Nothobranchius furzeri: one gene and its partner. The protein of the gene in region 1 interacts with the protein of each later gene in a biochemical or structural test. Links are inferred from orthologs where the notes say so. Each region holds a gene or a part of one and is shown in the gene's direction. Other genes may lie near its edges. The genes, in order: tcerg1b and sf1.

The links.
Region 2: the proteins of tcerg1b (region 1) and sf1 form a complex in vitro, tested with the Homo sapiens proteins (3 studies listed by BioGRID). The link is inferred for Nothobranchius furzeri from reciprocal best matches to the Homo sapiens genes TCERG1 and SF1.

The regions. Positions count from the first base shown.
Region 1 is NC_091750.1:56,776,963-56,785,412, reverse strand, and holds the start of tcerg1b (transcription elongation regulator 1), read left to right. Parts: upstream 1-3,863; 5' UTR 3,864-3,905; coding exon 3,906-3,952; intron 3,953-6,194; coding exon 6,195-6,426; intron 6,427-6,861; coding exon 6,862-7,014; intron 7,015-7,168; coding exon 7,169-7,457; intron 7,458-7,549; coding exon 7,550-7,792; intron 7,793-8,190; coding exon 8,191-8,250; intron 8,251-8,450. UniProt on the Homo sapiens protein: Transcription factor that binds RNA polymerase II and inhibits the elongation of transcripts from target promoters. Regulates transcription elongation in a TATA box-dependent manner.
Region 2 is NC_091743.1:88,299,628-88,307,520, reverse strand, and holds part of sf1 (splicing factor 1), read left to right. Parts: intron 1-4,096; coding exon 4,097-4,228; intron 4,229-5,951; coding exon 5,952-6,027; intron 6,028-7,893. UniProt on the Homo sapiens protein: Necessary for the ATP-dependent first step of spliceosome assembly. Binds to the intron branch point sequence (BPS) 5'-UACUAAC-3' of the pre-mRNA. May act as transcription repressor.

The DNA.
Region 1 (8,450 bases):
ACAAAAAAAAAACCTTTATTCAGCTTTTCCCTCATTGCGTCATAAATAATCCAATCAGTTAATCCGAAACTAAACAAACTGATTTTGTCGTCTTTATTTAGGTTTGTAGCCCAACATGTTTAACCTGATTCAGTCAGAATTTTTAAGCCATTTTAAAACATAAGAAGTGACACAGGGCATGTGTTTTAAGGCTTTTATTCTGTTTGTTTCACTTCCTAAAAAGAATCAGTAAGGGCGTTGGATCTTTTCTACATATAAAACAGTCACGCAAACGTTTGTTTCTGTGATTACAGGATCATTAAGGTGAGTAAAGCAACCCAGACATGTGCAGCGTGATGCTCCAGACATGATATTCCAAGGTGTTCCAGGAAAGTAGTACGTGTATGAAAGTGTACTCTGGCCCTCCAGTAGAAGTAGAAGTACTTCCACTGGAGCCACACGAGAGTGGGTGGCATTCAAATGAAGGGCAGAAACGGTAATTCCTCGTTTCTCCGTGTCTGCCCCCCCTTTTACATTTATTTAGCAAATTAAAAGGTTGATTATTGTGGAGCTCTTCCTGGGTTGTGTTTAATTTGTCATGCCTGATTATTATGCTATTTTGTGTTCTCACACCTGGGACCATGCAGCGTTTCTTTTCACACTGTGTGTTTTATGTTTACAGCACATGACTCAAAGCAGAAATATTGGTGTAAATCTTCAAAAAGTATTTTTACAAGCAGACATTCCTCACTCTGATCATCTCATAAACCACATTTTGGGAGTGGGACCTGTCCTACATTTAACATAAGATACATTTCCTTTGTTTAAATGATGAATTTTAAGTCTAGCAGAGATCAATCCAAAAACGGTTTGTGTGAGAAGTGAGCGAATGGCGTTGTGTATCTTGGTTTGACGTGCAAACACAGCTTATCATTTTCTGAGGCACTGTCCTCCAAAAGACCAAATCTTTATTTTGTTACTCTCAGAAGGATAATTCCATAGACTTCCTTTAAATATTTTATTAGTTTACTTGTGAAGTCATGTTCATACAGGAGAATTACAGCTAATCGAATTTAGTTGACTTGAATAATGCTTTTCTTTTCCTTCAGCAGGACGTTTTGATTTGATTGTACTTGTTTTCTGTACTTCACTCAACATTAAATTAAGTTATAAACCTTAAATCCAGAGATTCCTCATTTGTTGACATTATTTGAAAAGAATAGCTCAATTTCAGCTGCACCCAGGCTTTCTGCTCCATCACTGAAGAAAGGGTTGCAAATGGAAAAAATATATGGCCCCTTAAAGAACCTTCCTGAGAGTGACCAGTAGGGGGTGTGTCTGCAAGAATTTGGTGATGAGATATAAATCACAAAACAGGAGAGATGACACATATATTGTACTAAACGCCAGATGGTATTTAAAATATGTAACACTGAATTGACTCAAGGCAAGACACCTCCAGAGTTTTACATCAGAATGAAGGCGTTAAAAGCTACTGTCACCTAGCAGTCGGAGTTTGAATTGCACCACAAAAGTACAGAAAATAATTGCATGTAAATTCTCAATTAAATATAAATAAAATATAGATACACTGCTTTTACATATCAACTCAGTATTGTAAGGTGAAATATCACAATATATTGATATAATGCGATGTATCGATATTGTCTTACATTTTTAGACTTGCACACACGTGTTTAAAGATGGCTGCCTCGTGTAACTAGTTGATTTGAAGCGTTGTTTATATGTGTCCCCTGAAATTAACTTGACGCGTTTGCAAGCTGCAACATACAAGTTACCAGTAGGTGAGGTTGACAAAACGAAAGAGAAAAGCTCTCCATGGTCACTCCGTCTCTGGTTTTGAGGGTTTTTTTTACCATCTATTTTCTGTTTTGATCTCAAAATTAACCAGTAAATGATCTCTTCTGTTGACGCCATGTTTGTTTTGGTTGTACCCATTGACACCATGGACATACATACATTGATTGACACATACAAACCTAGAACTCTGTCTGGTCTGAGTTCCCCCTAGTGGAACAGTCTAGTACTACATGCAGTGCAGCAGCAAGGATGTGAACAAAGACAGCCAGCTGCCTGCCTGGACTTGAGGATGAAAAGCAAGTTTATTCCCAGCTTAAGTTGCCAACCTACCAAAATTACTCAAAGAGCTAAATGAAGAGTTCATGAGGCCACAAAGAAGCCAGAAGATTTAAAGCTCTGCTGGCTTTGTGTGGTTACGATTAGAGCTAATCAAAAAATATGAAAAGAACCGCTAAAGGTATAATATGTATCTTGATCTTCAAGACACACAACAGCAGAAGAAGCGCTATGAATACTTTTCGGATGCACTGTATTTGGATAATATTATATTTAGGGTTAAATACTGTCCGTATATAGACAGCTCTAACAAATGAACATTGGAAAGTTTCCACGTTTTTATTGTGAATAAAAACAGTTTGGAAATGTTTTCTTCTACTTGCATTTGTTATTATAAAATCTAGTTATTAATTATTACTCATTTTCTATTTTGCCCCGAACCAATTCAATATAATATGTTGCACATAACTTAAACTTGTTTAATCAAATCAATAAAATTTGTATCAAATTAAATCAGCAAATTTTTGGAAATTACTGTTTTTTTGTGATATGGTGGCCACCTGGTAAAACTACATCCATTCTTACTAAATTAAATTAAGTTAGCAATAGGCAATATAAAATAAATATATTCAATTAGAAATTGTTAACAGCATACATTTGTAATTTCTAATCAAACACTGCAGATATAGAACTTTTAGTTATTTGTTGGGCAGCAGTAGCTCAGGAGGTAGAGGGGGTTGTCCAGCATTTGGATGGTTGCAGATTCAATCCCGGCTCCAGACAGAGAATGTTGCTGTTGTGTCCTTGATTGCTGCTGACTCTGAAAGGTGCTATACAAGTGGGGGTCATTTATCATCATTTATTGTTTAGTTCAAAGATCAATAAATACCCAACTGCATCTAAAAAACACACATACATTGAATTAAAATATATAAAAGGTACACATTTTGTTTTAAAGGAAAAGCAATAATGTATTAGGATTTCACCATGAATGTATAAAACACTCAAATAAATAAAAGAATTTTTACAGTTTTTTTGTCTAAATATACGTTTAATTCAATTACTTGTAATTCATCATTTAACTTGATTGATTGCAACATACCTGATATATATCAGGTATATATATATATATATATATATATATATATATATATATATATATATATATATATATATATCAGGTATATATATATATATATATATATATATATATATATATATAATGGATAAAACCCAATCCTTTAGTATCTGGCTTACTAAGGAGGGGTGTTTACCTCTCTCTAGTGGACACGGGGTTACTACAGCCATCAAAAAGCTAAACAAGACAACTGATTAGCACGTCCTGTAAATTTAATCTATATAGAATATACCACTTACAATTTGCTATGGTTTTTAAATTAGCGTTAACTGCATGGTTCTTCAAGATAACGGGAAAGCCAGAACGTCTTGAGTAATACAAACTTAGAAAAAGTGCAGAGAAGATCTAATACTACATTTCAGTAGTGCAACAGTATGACTATGATAACTAAACAGTAAAGACATTTTCCTGCGTAAAACATTCAAATGTGCCTAATTCAAATAAATCTACATCACATTCAAGCTAATTTAAACTATTTATCAACAACCGGACTGAACAAAGACGTGTAAAAGAAATGAGACCCATATTAGCCAATGACTGATTTGCTGAAGTTACGCGAGAGGAGTATTATCCAATAGGTGCGAGCGTTGCTCAGACGGCATCGATGTTGACGTCAAAGATCAGCCAATGGGAAAAGGGCAAACCCTCTTAGGGGCGTTTCCAGGAAGAGATCAATTAACATTTTCCTGTAATGGCGGACCAGGCAGAGACCGATACTGTTGGGTTTAACGACAACAGGTGAATTTGTCGTTCAACGTGAACGTGAGATTATCGTTAAATTGATCACAATCTAAAATGTCATATGCATATGTAGTTCTGGCGGAATCTTCGTAATAATCAGCGGGTTTATTGGTGAATGTAGCCACGCCAGCTAACTAGCTTGTTGCTAGTTAGCCCATGTTGCAGGTCTCGTCCTGCTTGTAGCGGGCGGTAAACAGACATTTTTCTAGTATAAACGGAATTCTTATCTCCCAAGGCCCTGATCTTCTGTTTAGACAGTACACGTTTAAACAAATAATACCAAGCCTGTATGTGTTTGTAAACAGAAGCGCGGATCATTTTCTTTAGTCTTTTGAATGGTGTGTGTTTCTGTTAGTTTGGTTAGCATCAGACGACAAAATTTTGATTGTGTCTACGTGCACGGATTACTGGACATGCCCTCAAAAAGGTTTTACACACACACAAGCATCTGTACTAACTTGACAGTTTAAACAAAAACGTAATTGCAAAATTGAATGCGTCAGAAGCTGTCCCCATGCTACACTTAACTTTTTAGATTGATAAATAATCATGTAGGGCTGCACGATATTAGGAAAACCTGCGATATTCGATAACAGTGCTTAATATTGTGATATCGATATTACTCGCGATAAATAAACAAATCCTAAAGTATGTAGTGTTGTCATCTGGCGTGTGACGTCTGCTCTGGGTTTAAAGCAAACAAAAACTAATGCATGAATTCCATTACAGCATAACATTTTTATTGCCAAAATATGCAGCTGCACCTGCTACTGTATTAGCAGCAAAACAACATCTGCATGCATGCAGTTTCTCAGTGACTTTAAAACATCACCTCCACCATAAAACTTTTTCTGATGCTCCAAATACAGAAAAACATCCCTTACCAGTGTTGTTTGAATAAATAAAAACAATCAGAAAATAAGTTTAAATGTTAAATAATAGTTAACATCACTTAAATGCAACAGCAAATTCTCTCATTGCTATTGAGCATTTTCTCCACTTATGTGGTTATGATATAAGGCTGTTGCTGTAATTGGGAAGTGAACTGTGCTGGGCCAAACTAGGAGAATATTAAGATTTTCTGAGGGAAAGAGAAAAACAATTGTCTTTCAGAAGAGGAACTGGTAAAAAACTACATGGAAAATATGTGAAAACGTTTGTTTTTAACCCCAAATTGAACAAGTTTACCTAGATCTTAAAAAGCAACTCAGATGATGAAACTGCAATTATGATTCTGATAACAAGCTAACAAATTGAACTAGCTCGTCTTAAGATAACCGGCTAGCAGAGCTTCTGACTGACAGTTTATGTGCAGCAGCAAATCAACTATCCTGATTAACAAGGTTATAAAAGCTCATAAATGAAAAATCACTTTGATGTGTGGGGGAACTTTTCCAGGCCCACTTTAGCAGGGTGGGACTGGGAGGAGAGTGCTGTAGCCTTTTAGCTGGAAGCTAACCGGAGCCTGGGGCTAACATCACCACCCGGTGGAACACTAGCGACATGAAGGTGGGTTGGTTCACCGGCACATGTCGGAGTCAGCCCGGTAAAAATGATTAACGACACCGAGCGGACTCGCGTTCACGTTTGAAAGCAACGCTGATAACAGAAACATCAGCACAAAGTGCGTTCGTTGCTCTGAGCCAGAAGGCGAACAAGGGAATGGCGCCGCTAACTCTGTTCGGGTGTTGCTTTCCAAAAGGGTCTACGTAGGGGGCGGGCGTATTACACGAACAAAACCATCTGATTGGCCGCATATCAGAAGGACTACATTTGGTCAAATAATACTTCCGCGTAAAAAACAGAGCTGGTTTACAAAAAGCTGATGTATGACACTGATGGAAATGTTTGAACCAAACATTTATTGCTGTTTTTGCCGTGTTTTGCAATGGGCCTATCGCACGTGTTATCGCGATGACGATAATTTTTCGATATATTGTGCAGCCCTATAATCATGTAATCACCACCGTGTATGTAATGCATTAGTATTGATTTTGCAACGGAATATTCTTATTACAGTTTGTGTTTTTCTTGGCTCTGGCTTGGCTTAAACAGCATTTTTGTAAGTAGAAAACACGAAACTTTGCGTTAAAAAACCTTTAAATTTAATGTAACGACTTTTCACATGACTACTTTGGCATTTTGTTGGGTATTTTTCATCCTGTCTCTTGTTTACAAGTTTGAGTATCGTGCATTTCTTCTTTTATGACTTGTGCATAACTCTGCGTTGTTTTGTTAGGATAATGCAGCAGGCAGTGCAGTTTCGCAGCCCTGCCCCTGCCGCTGCACCCGCTCAGACCCCGGTGTTACGGGGACCTCCGCCCCTCCTCAGACCACCTCCACCACCGTTTGGAATGATGAGGGGACCCCCGCCAAGACCTCCATTCTCACGCCCACCCTTTGACCCCAACATGCCACCCATCCCACCACCAGGAGGCATGCCACCACCCATCGGACCTCCTCACCTCCAGGTGCTTTTTAGCTTCAAGCAAACATGTTTATGTTTGTTTTTAGGAGTCACAATGTTGTCTAAAGCTAATAAGCTGGATTTGACATACAGTTCAGATAACAGTGGCATATGGATAAATCAGAAAATGATAATTTTTAGCTTAATTGCTACATGTTTGCTTTTTTATGCAGGCTTACTACATAAAAAGCTACGATTAATTTTATTTACCCATTCAGAATCTTGTTAACAGTATGGATTGAACATAGAAAAGAGGAAAACAAAATAAAAACAGATTTTTTTTAACGTATAGCTCTCATATTTGCTGTCTGCAAAGAAACAGACATAATTTAGCCATATAACTGCATTTTAGAGAGAAATCCGCCTAAATGTTTTACAATTATTTGATTTAGATTACAAAAGTGAAATGCTGTTTTTGTGTTTTGTTTTTGTTCTGCAGAGACCTCCGTTTCTCCCCCCTCCTATTGGAAACTTGCCGCCTCCTCCTGGGATGTTGTTTCCTCCTGGAATGCCCCCTGTCCCTTCATCTGGAAACCCCACTCTCAGTCCTGCTGAGGAGATCTGGGTCGAGAACAAGACACCGGACGGAAAGGTCAGATGGAAGTTTGGTTTATGCAGGTTTCTCTAGTGAGACTGATTATATATATTTTTTTTAATTTATGCAGTTTTTCCAGATTTTTTATGAAGACTAAATCTCAAGTTGTGTTTACAGACTAGATGACAAGTTCCTCTCGTTACCCTCACAGGCATATTACTATAACGCTCGGACCAGGGAGTCATCCTGGAGTAAACCAGAAGGTGTGAAGGTCATCCAGCAGTCTGAACTCAACCCTCTCCTGGTAGCGGGGCCTGCAGCTGCAGGCTCGGGGCCTAGTGTGGGTGTGACTGCAGCTGTCAGCTCCAGCAGCGGGAACACCACGGCCAGCACAGCCGGAGCAGCCTCTCCCACTCAAGCCCCATCCTCAACCCCATCCCACACGCTCACCTCCAGTCCTGACCCCATCACCACCGCTTCCCCCTCTGTGTCCATTGCAGGTAAAGCTGTGCATCAACGACCAACAGATCGTGCAAACAAAATCAGAAAGTAACCATTTCTCTTATTATTATTCAATTTCTGTCTTCTGCAGCCACCGTCGTAGCAGACCACCCTCCTGTTGCCACAGTTACATCCACTGTTGCTGTGTCGCCGGTCACCGTGGTGACCGTTTCCACGGTGCCGTCACCTGTCACAGCCGTTCAGACTGTGCCACTGCTGCCTGCAGCTTTGCCTCACAGTGTGGCCCAGCCTACTGCAGCCATACCTGCCTTCCCCCCCGTCATGGTGCCACCGTTCCGGGTGCCTTTACCCGGCATGCACATTCCTCTGCCAGGTGAGTGGAACTGTTGCACTGGAAGGATCGTTTTGCTGCTAAGGCTGCAGTTGGTTAGCTCAACCTTTAAGATTCAGGGACACATGGAACAAACTTTTGAGTGTTTTGTCTTGTTGCTGTGCGGCTCCTCGTAGCATCACCTCTGCTAAGTGTCAACATGTGCGGGTGGGGGAGTACTGTAGTCATTTTTTTGTGATGCTTATAGGAAAAATGTGTTTTTTAGTACATAAAGGGATCAGATTTACTGTAGCGCTACATAACGTTTTGTTGTCATTTAATAACGGGTGTGTAGTATCTTAGTGTCTGATTGGGACCACACACTCGTGCACACCATGGTAGCTGATGTCTGGTGTCCTGCTGTGTTCAACCACATGCTTGCTTGTCCGTTGTTCTTGCAGGTGTAGCAATGGTGCAGATAGTAGGTGCTCCCTGTGTAAAGGCAGGCCCCAGCGCCAACGGTAAACACCCAGCTGCTCTCCTCTCAGACCCACATTAGATGGCATGGTAGTGAATGGTGTCCACATGCATCGTTTTGTAAATGTGGGGGACGTTGAAACCGTGGCATGCTGTTGAATGCTGTGAAACATAATTCATTCGCTGTAAAGTGGTGAGTTTTCAGCCATTCCAGCAGACAGAAGCAGATGCATCTTAAATGTGA
Region 2 (7,893 bases), on another chromosome or scaffold:
GGTAAATTCCATGAAAAATTATGTAGAATCTAGAATAGAGTTTGTAAGTGGTATGCATTGCTGGGGGGGGGTGAGTGTCTTGTTCCCCATGTAGTTGTCCATCGTTGCTTGTTTTTTTCTGCATAAGAAACACAAATAGACTGAAATAAGTACACATATAAAATAAAGCAGCACACACACTACAACACTAAATCAATATTATATTATTTGAATTAACAATATACAGTGATCATTTATTTTGATAAAAATGCGTTGTGAGGCGTTTTACAGCGTTAGATAGTAAAACAGCCTTTTAATAGCCTTGAAGCTAAAGCTGAAATAATGGCCAAAGGAGGAGACGGCAGCGCTCAGGAGGACATTTATTATCCCTCAAAGAAGACAAAGTGGGAAGTACGGGCATGTTTTCGATATCTGAAGAATGCCGAGGGACAGTTGATAGAAGACTGCTATCCTGTTTGCAGCACGTGCAGAAAAAGTGTCTGTGAAAGGCAGCAACGCTTCAAATCTCATGACACATCTGCGTGACCATCACCCACAACTCTACAGTCAACGCAAGGCAAGCTAACGTTAGCGTTTTAGCTAAAATGCGTGATCCGAGGATTTGGGTTGAGGGAGAACGCAACGAGTCGCTATATAAAGCAGCTGCAGCGCCGCTACCTGCATATAAACCGTGTCGCGGACACCCCCCATGTTGAAATGACGCTATGCATTACGGGGCTCCCAGGGGCGGATAAGAGTTGGTCTCTCTCTGAGAATAATTATGAATTTAACAATGATTACTGCCTGATGACATTTTCCCACATCTGCAAAGCTCACTGGAAGGACACAAACCGAGGACGATATTTTCCTGATATAGGGTTTATTACTCAAGTAAGGGTAAAAAAGTATCTGATTAGAAGGCTACTTGAGTACTGAGTATCATCTGGTCTAATATTTTTAAATGATGACATCAAACAGACAAAATAAGAAGTTATGGGCAAATATTGGTATTTTAAAGACTAAAGGGAAAAATATAAACAAATAAACAACATAATTACAAAATAACACATTTTAGGCAAAATTTAGACACAAACTGAGGACAATATTTCCTGACATACAGGGTTTATTTAATTGTGTGAAAATGTAACACGTTTAAAAAAACTTCCGTGATAATACCGAAAACCGTGGTAATTTTGGTCACAATAACCGTGAGGTTAAATTTTCACACCGTGACAACCCTACTGCTATGTTGAATTCTGGGTTAACTAAAGCTTTTGTCTTGAATACACTAGTTTAAAAGCAATGACATCTGCTGCCAATGTTTTAATCACGAATGCATTATTACAGATATAAATTTAATCAGCTCAAGTTGGGCCTCTGCTTGAGGTGTTTACAATTTTCTAACATGACAGGACTGCTTCCGCTCCCATTGTTTTGGTTGGCGTGTGCTTTCCTGCGTTCTTTACCAGTTGTGACAAAAGCCATTTTCCCAATTAATAGAAATAGTTTGGACATTGTTTTCCTTTCAACTTTGTACTTAGGCATTTGACACCAGTCAGCGGTAGGGCTGGGGGAAAACGATTATTTTTAAAACGATTATTCTAACGTAGGGCTGGGCGATATGGACCAAAACTTATATCTCGATATCTTTAAGCTGAATTCCGATATACGATATATATCTCGATATTTTTCCTCCTGTAAACTGTTGACAAGTTAACTCACTTCAAGCTCTTGAGAAATTATATACATAAATCAGTAGGTTAAATGCATAAAAATGTATTGATTCTGGTCAAACTTTAACCGTAGTGCCTATTCTCTACCAGTCTGAGCTTTAGTAACACAGGTACAGATGTCTGCTAACACACACACACACACACACACACACACACACACACACAGTTGAGAGCCAGAGGTGTATCAAATGTCCCACAGGCACTTTTTAATTATATATTTATAATTAATGTGAAATTATTTAAATTTCATCTAGAGGTGGCCCATATTGTATAGATCTTGTCCAGAGAAAAAAAATCCATCATGTTAAGCTAAATGTACGATGATGTAATTGCATCTACTGAAGATCACATGGGTCATGCACCATGGAGTTATTAGTTATTAGAAAAACTAGTTATTAACTAGTCGTTAGTTATTAGTTAGCAGTGTTGGCTCATATCAGCGATTATACTGTAATGATTCAGAGTCTCTGGTTGCTTTTATGAGTGTTATTTTCGGGCTACTGTCGCCATAACCCACACCTTACAAACTCAACTTTTTCATCAGAGTCACTCGTAACGGAGTATTTACTAGCATAGCAAACCAGAACGGAAAAAAACGGAACCGGAACAACATTTCTCACCCGTTGAGTTCGCCTTCAAAATAAAACGGTAACCCTATAGTTTACTATTCAAACCCTTAAATATGTTTCAGGTCATTTGGCCACTCCGGCTTTCCGTAGCCGTTTCCTCATTACACAGGGGAGGGAGGGGTTTGGCTCGTCTCTCTGCACAAGCAGGATGGAAAACCGTTGGCATTGAACGTCCCCAAATAATTAAAAACCAGGAGGCCAAATGCAAAGTTTAGAGCAGCACATTTACCCAGAGGCTCTCAGACTGAGCAAACTTGTGAGAATATACGTAATGGCTGCTTAGAGACGGAGCAACATGTCGCTAGCATAGCGGCTAATCGCTAGCATAGCAGTTTGGCCAGTTATATCGATATAAAGATATAGTCATCTTATATCTTGTTTAAAAATTATACCGATATTTAAAGAATATCGATATATCGCCCAGCCCTATTCTGACGATTATTTTATCAAATAGTCGACTATTCTAATGAGTATTTAGAAAATTAGTCTAATGATTATTTTTCTATTGCACAATTAACAAAAACCAGAAAATCTCAAATAAATTCCTCAAAAACATTGATCAATTGTTACTGTAAGAGAATAAACACTACAGGCCTTCCATTTTGTACAACACTGCTTTTATTGTGTTGGTTGGTTATGTTCTGGTGACGTGTAGATCTTGGGAGTGCAGGCTGCTGCCTGAGAGGTGGTTGGAGACGGAGTGTCTCCATGCTGCTTTGTTTTGGTCACTTATGTGCGTGAGGCGAGTGGTGTTACGACCCTTCCTGGGGAGTTTGGCTCGTGTGCAAAAAGGAAGGGACAATAACGGGATTTAAAAGTTAAAATGATGATCAGGTTTGTTTACAACTACAAAAAAACATAAATCTTTCCATCCGCAGGTTGGGAATAATAAAACTAATTCTGCCTGTGTGGAATTAAAACAAAAGTACAAATAAGTGGGGATGTCCCACTGGGCAAAGATTACAGGGTTCTGGACCAAAATAAGGATCTCCAAAGGTCCAACTCTAAACTGGGCGGTGAAACCAAACTCAAGGTGATATTTTAAACTAAACCGAAAACCCACAACACTCTAAATGTAATAAAAGGGAGATCTGCACCACAAAAAAGATGAACTCTAAACCAAAACGTAACAGCTTATCCAAACGCAAGAAGCTGTTAGCGAAGATGCTAACAGTAGCTTTACCAACGTTAAGTTCAAGTCACCAAGTTTAAATAAACCAAAAACACCCAGCAGCAAACAGACCAGCACGGAGGAGAGACTGCTACCACCAGCACAGCTCTCCTAATGTCTGAAAGAAGCTCCTTTATGAAGGGAGAAACGCTCCCGGTGATTTTCTACATCTGCGGTAGAGACGAAGCAGCGCATCTGACCCCGGAAGTTGTTGTCCGTTGCCGGGAGACGAAGGCGGGCAAAACAGGAAAATAATCTAGTTGTGGACGGACATTGTTCCAGGTCTTCGGTATTTGGCGGAGATGTTAGTGAAGGCGGAGAAGAGGGCGAACTAGAGGAGGAAAAACAGGCAGATTCCACAAACTCCTGGGGATGCAACAAGTGGGCGCGGTGCATCGACTTCCGGATCTGACGTCGACAAATTTTTAGAATCGAGCCGTCGACGTCGTCGAGGCTTCGCTACTGCCCTAGCCAGAGGCTACATCAGATAGCATCTTCTTTTCTCTGACATTTGATGTAGAATTTGAATAACGCTTCTCATAAAGGGGTAAAGTAAAATTCATGGGTTAATTTTTCTTGTTTAGATTTCGGCCAGAAGAAAACTAGGAAGAGGAGTCGATGGAGCAGTGAGACCCCTGATCAGAAGACTGTTATACCGGGGATGCCCACTGTTATTCCCCCTGGACTCACGCGAGATCAGGAGAGGGCGTATATAGGTAAATGATGTTCGTCTTTACCAAAGTTTACCATGTCAGTTACTGGATGTTACTGTTTTGTTGAAGGTTCTAGTTTTCTCTTATGGTACCAGCATCTAGGCTATTTCCTTTTTCCTGAATTCCCAACAGTTTGAGCTTTCTAAGGCAATGCTAATTCAAAGTCAGATAAAGTTCTTTTCACTGTTCTTCTTGCTAAAAGGTGGAAATGTCTTATTTTGCTCCAACTGTTGAGACAAAATAATCATTCTTACTAAGCAATATAATAATAATAATGCTGTTGTGAGGTTTCTGTTCATTTCCCTTTGAGTGTTTCTGCTGTTTTGTAGTCCCCCAGTTTGCATACCATTGGGCAGCCATTAACAAGAGTTGGTGATAGTTGATCAAACGTCTGTTTGCTGAAAACCGCCACGCTGCCGCTCGTTCAACACATCCTCATTACTCTGCGTGGTAGAGGATAATTGGCCTGAATGTGGGCAATGCTGCTTCAGTTGGGTTTACACAGATTCTTCCTGTTGCAGAAGAGAACCAATGCTAAAATAATTAGACTAGTAGAATATAGACCAATATCAAACTTTATTCATAAAAGACTAAGATTTGTATCTTTTAGGCAGGACCGACAGCATTACAGCTGCTGACCCAAAAAAAACCCACAGATTTTTGGGTTAGGGCCGTTTGAGGTGGACCTAGATATGAAATTGAACCAATGGAAAATAATTCAGTTTCACATTGAAACCTGTAGGTAACAGAAACTGTTTAGATTAGTCTGTTTTTGGGGGCCGAAGAACAAACAAAATCTCAACTCACCAATAAGCCACTAATCCGAGGTTGCACAGAGTTTATCGTTGCCTCTTCCCAGAAAGAAGAGGGATCTAGTCTTCTAGAAGCAGTATTGCTCAAACATCCTCTTTTAAAGGAAATAATTGCCTTTAACTAGTCTCTCATTGGTAATGGTTGCTTTTCCTTGGTATGTAAACATTCATTTGTGCTCACCTTCTGTCACACTTCTAGCTTCTTTTGCTCGTTCAGTAGATCCCCTAAAACAAGAGTTTTAAGATGTGAGCATCAGGCCTGTATTCATCTGAATAACCCAGAGTAATTGTTTCAGTGATCACTGAATCTGTGTTCAAGGGGATTCTTCTTCACAACTTCCATAATGTGCATGAAATGACTGATCTATTTTATTTCTTCATTGTCTTCTAAATGCAAGACTTGTTTCTGTGTCACAGCAACCCCTCAGTGTTAGACCTGTGGAGTGCAAAAAGTGGCTTATCGCCAGTTTTGTTGTTCAAATCTGCAAAACAAATGGACAAACATGCGTCCTCAGAATCCCAGAGAGCCGTCCCATATTCATAGAAGTACCTCGGCCTTGTTTGTAGACGTAATGATATGGCTGGCTGTTTAGGAGTCATGGTTTCATCATTTGACATGTCGTCATGCTTAATCATGATCGAAGAGCAAGTTTTTCTCTTCTAACGCCAATTTGAATGACTTTATAAACATTTTGATAGTGTGGTCTCACCAAAACCAGTAATTGGTTTCATGCTTGAGTTTTATCAGATGTTTGTTTGAACTTCCTTTTTATTTGGCAGATTCACCAAATATGTTTAAAGCAGTAATGACTGAGACATTGCTCTGAAGTGCAGAGCGTTGTCTCTCTGATATTGTTGTGGTAACCACATTTCTCTCCATCCTTGTTTTTCTTTCCTAACCTGAATTCTTCCAGTCCAACTGCAGATTGAAGACCTGACTCGTAAACTGCGTACAGGAGACCTGGGAATCCCTGTTAACCCTGAGGACAGGTCGGAAAAAGATTAAACCCTCAAACAGTAACACTTTCTCTACCTTCTTGACTATTTGGAAAGCAAACATTGACTTGTATTTGAGTGTGGTTAGTTTAAATGTCATGTTTAGTGAAAAGTTTGAGGGCACCTCGATGTCCTCACTTTGCTAGAACTATTACTCACTACAGCACCACAGTTCCTAGAGTTGCTAGCTTCAGAAAGATATAATTTGTTTATCTGTGGTTCTTTTTGTAAGGATTTTAGTCAGTATGGAAATGAATGGGTGTCAAAATATGTTTGATGTATAAAGTAAAGCTTTCTAATGGTTAAATTAACTTATGCTTAAATAATTAACTGTTGTGTTTCCATAAATACAACAAATAAACCGTAGAGATTGGATCGATGCAGCCTGAGGCTGCAGGCCGTTGATGCAGAACTCATCAGGTTTAGCTTTATTTGCTTTGTTTCCTTTTGCAGCTTCAGATCACATTTAGTTAAGCCTCCAGTTAACAGCAATGTGATCAAATAAAAATGTGACATCATAGAAAGGTGAGAAAATAGTCGACATGAAGGAGAAACACTTGGAACACCAATGGTTAAGTCGCCGCCGCAGTGCCACCCTCTCGGCCTCCTTGTGGGGCATTTTTCAAACAGGAAGCGTGGGTGACGTTAGCGTGGGGATCTTTTTGCCACATATTAACATACTTTAAGAAAACTTTAGAAGGCAAGGGAGAAGTAAACATCAAACCAGTAATGCAACTAAAATCCTTCCATCTGGTTCAAGGGCGATCAGCCTTTATTTACACACACACCACATTTTTATCCAAGACAACAGTTCAGTTACATTGAAATAAACATCTTTTATCTTTTATGTAAGCTGTAAAGTTTAGAATAAGCTGTAGTCTAACCAGACATTGTTCAGCTGAAATCACCAACAATGATTTCTCACTGAAAACAGAAGACTGGTTCAAGTCAAACGACAATGACTAAAACAACACAAACGTGGATTTCTACTCCTGCTCAGTTAGAGCCTGGTTCTCCCTACAGCCTGATTTATTCTTCTCTCTGCATCGGTGCGGCGACACGCAACGCCATTGTGCGTCGCAAGGTCTCTTCAGCAGGCTCGCCGAGGCTGACGGAGACATGCCCGACTTTTTAACTATCCATCAAAAGTGACTGAAGCTGCAAGCTTGTGATTGGTCGGGATGCTGTTTCCTTTTAGGTTGTCAACAGCACCGCCATTGCCCCCTCAAAAAATAAGCTATTTAGCTGCTGACACAGAACAGATTGAAGGCCGTGCAGAAGATGAAAATACAAGATTTTTGTCACCCGTGACTGAAGTACAAAAATACGAAGCAATCGTTTTTCTTATTTGTGGATGGAAACGAAGAGAAACGTGCGTTTAAAGGTGCCGATGGCGTGAAGAGGTGGAGGAGAACGGCGACAAATCGGTTCGTGTTAAAACGTCTATGAAGTACATGAAACAATATAAACTCCGTAGTGAATGCATCGGATACTTGACTCTGGTGGTGCCAGGACACCCCAGCACTGCGCTACGCCCCCTGTTGTCCTGGCTGGGAATTGCTTTGCTACTCTCCAGCTGACAGACAAGTCTGAAGACAAAACATCATCAATACGAGTGTGTGACTCCACACTCGAGCTGATGGAGAAGTATAAATCAGGCTCTAGGAGCAAAGAGACGGTGAGAACTGGTTGGAAGCGTAAAAGTGATTAAACTGTTTGAGTCTTGGGTAAAATAATCTGTTTTATTGTGGGTGTTGGTAATCAGCCAGGTCATTATAATCGTAGCATAGTCTTGGATAGTTTTACCCACCTCAGATTATGTTTCTGTCTAATTCAGATTATTAGGCGTGCACCATGACG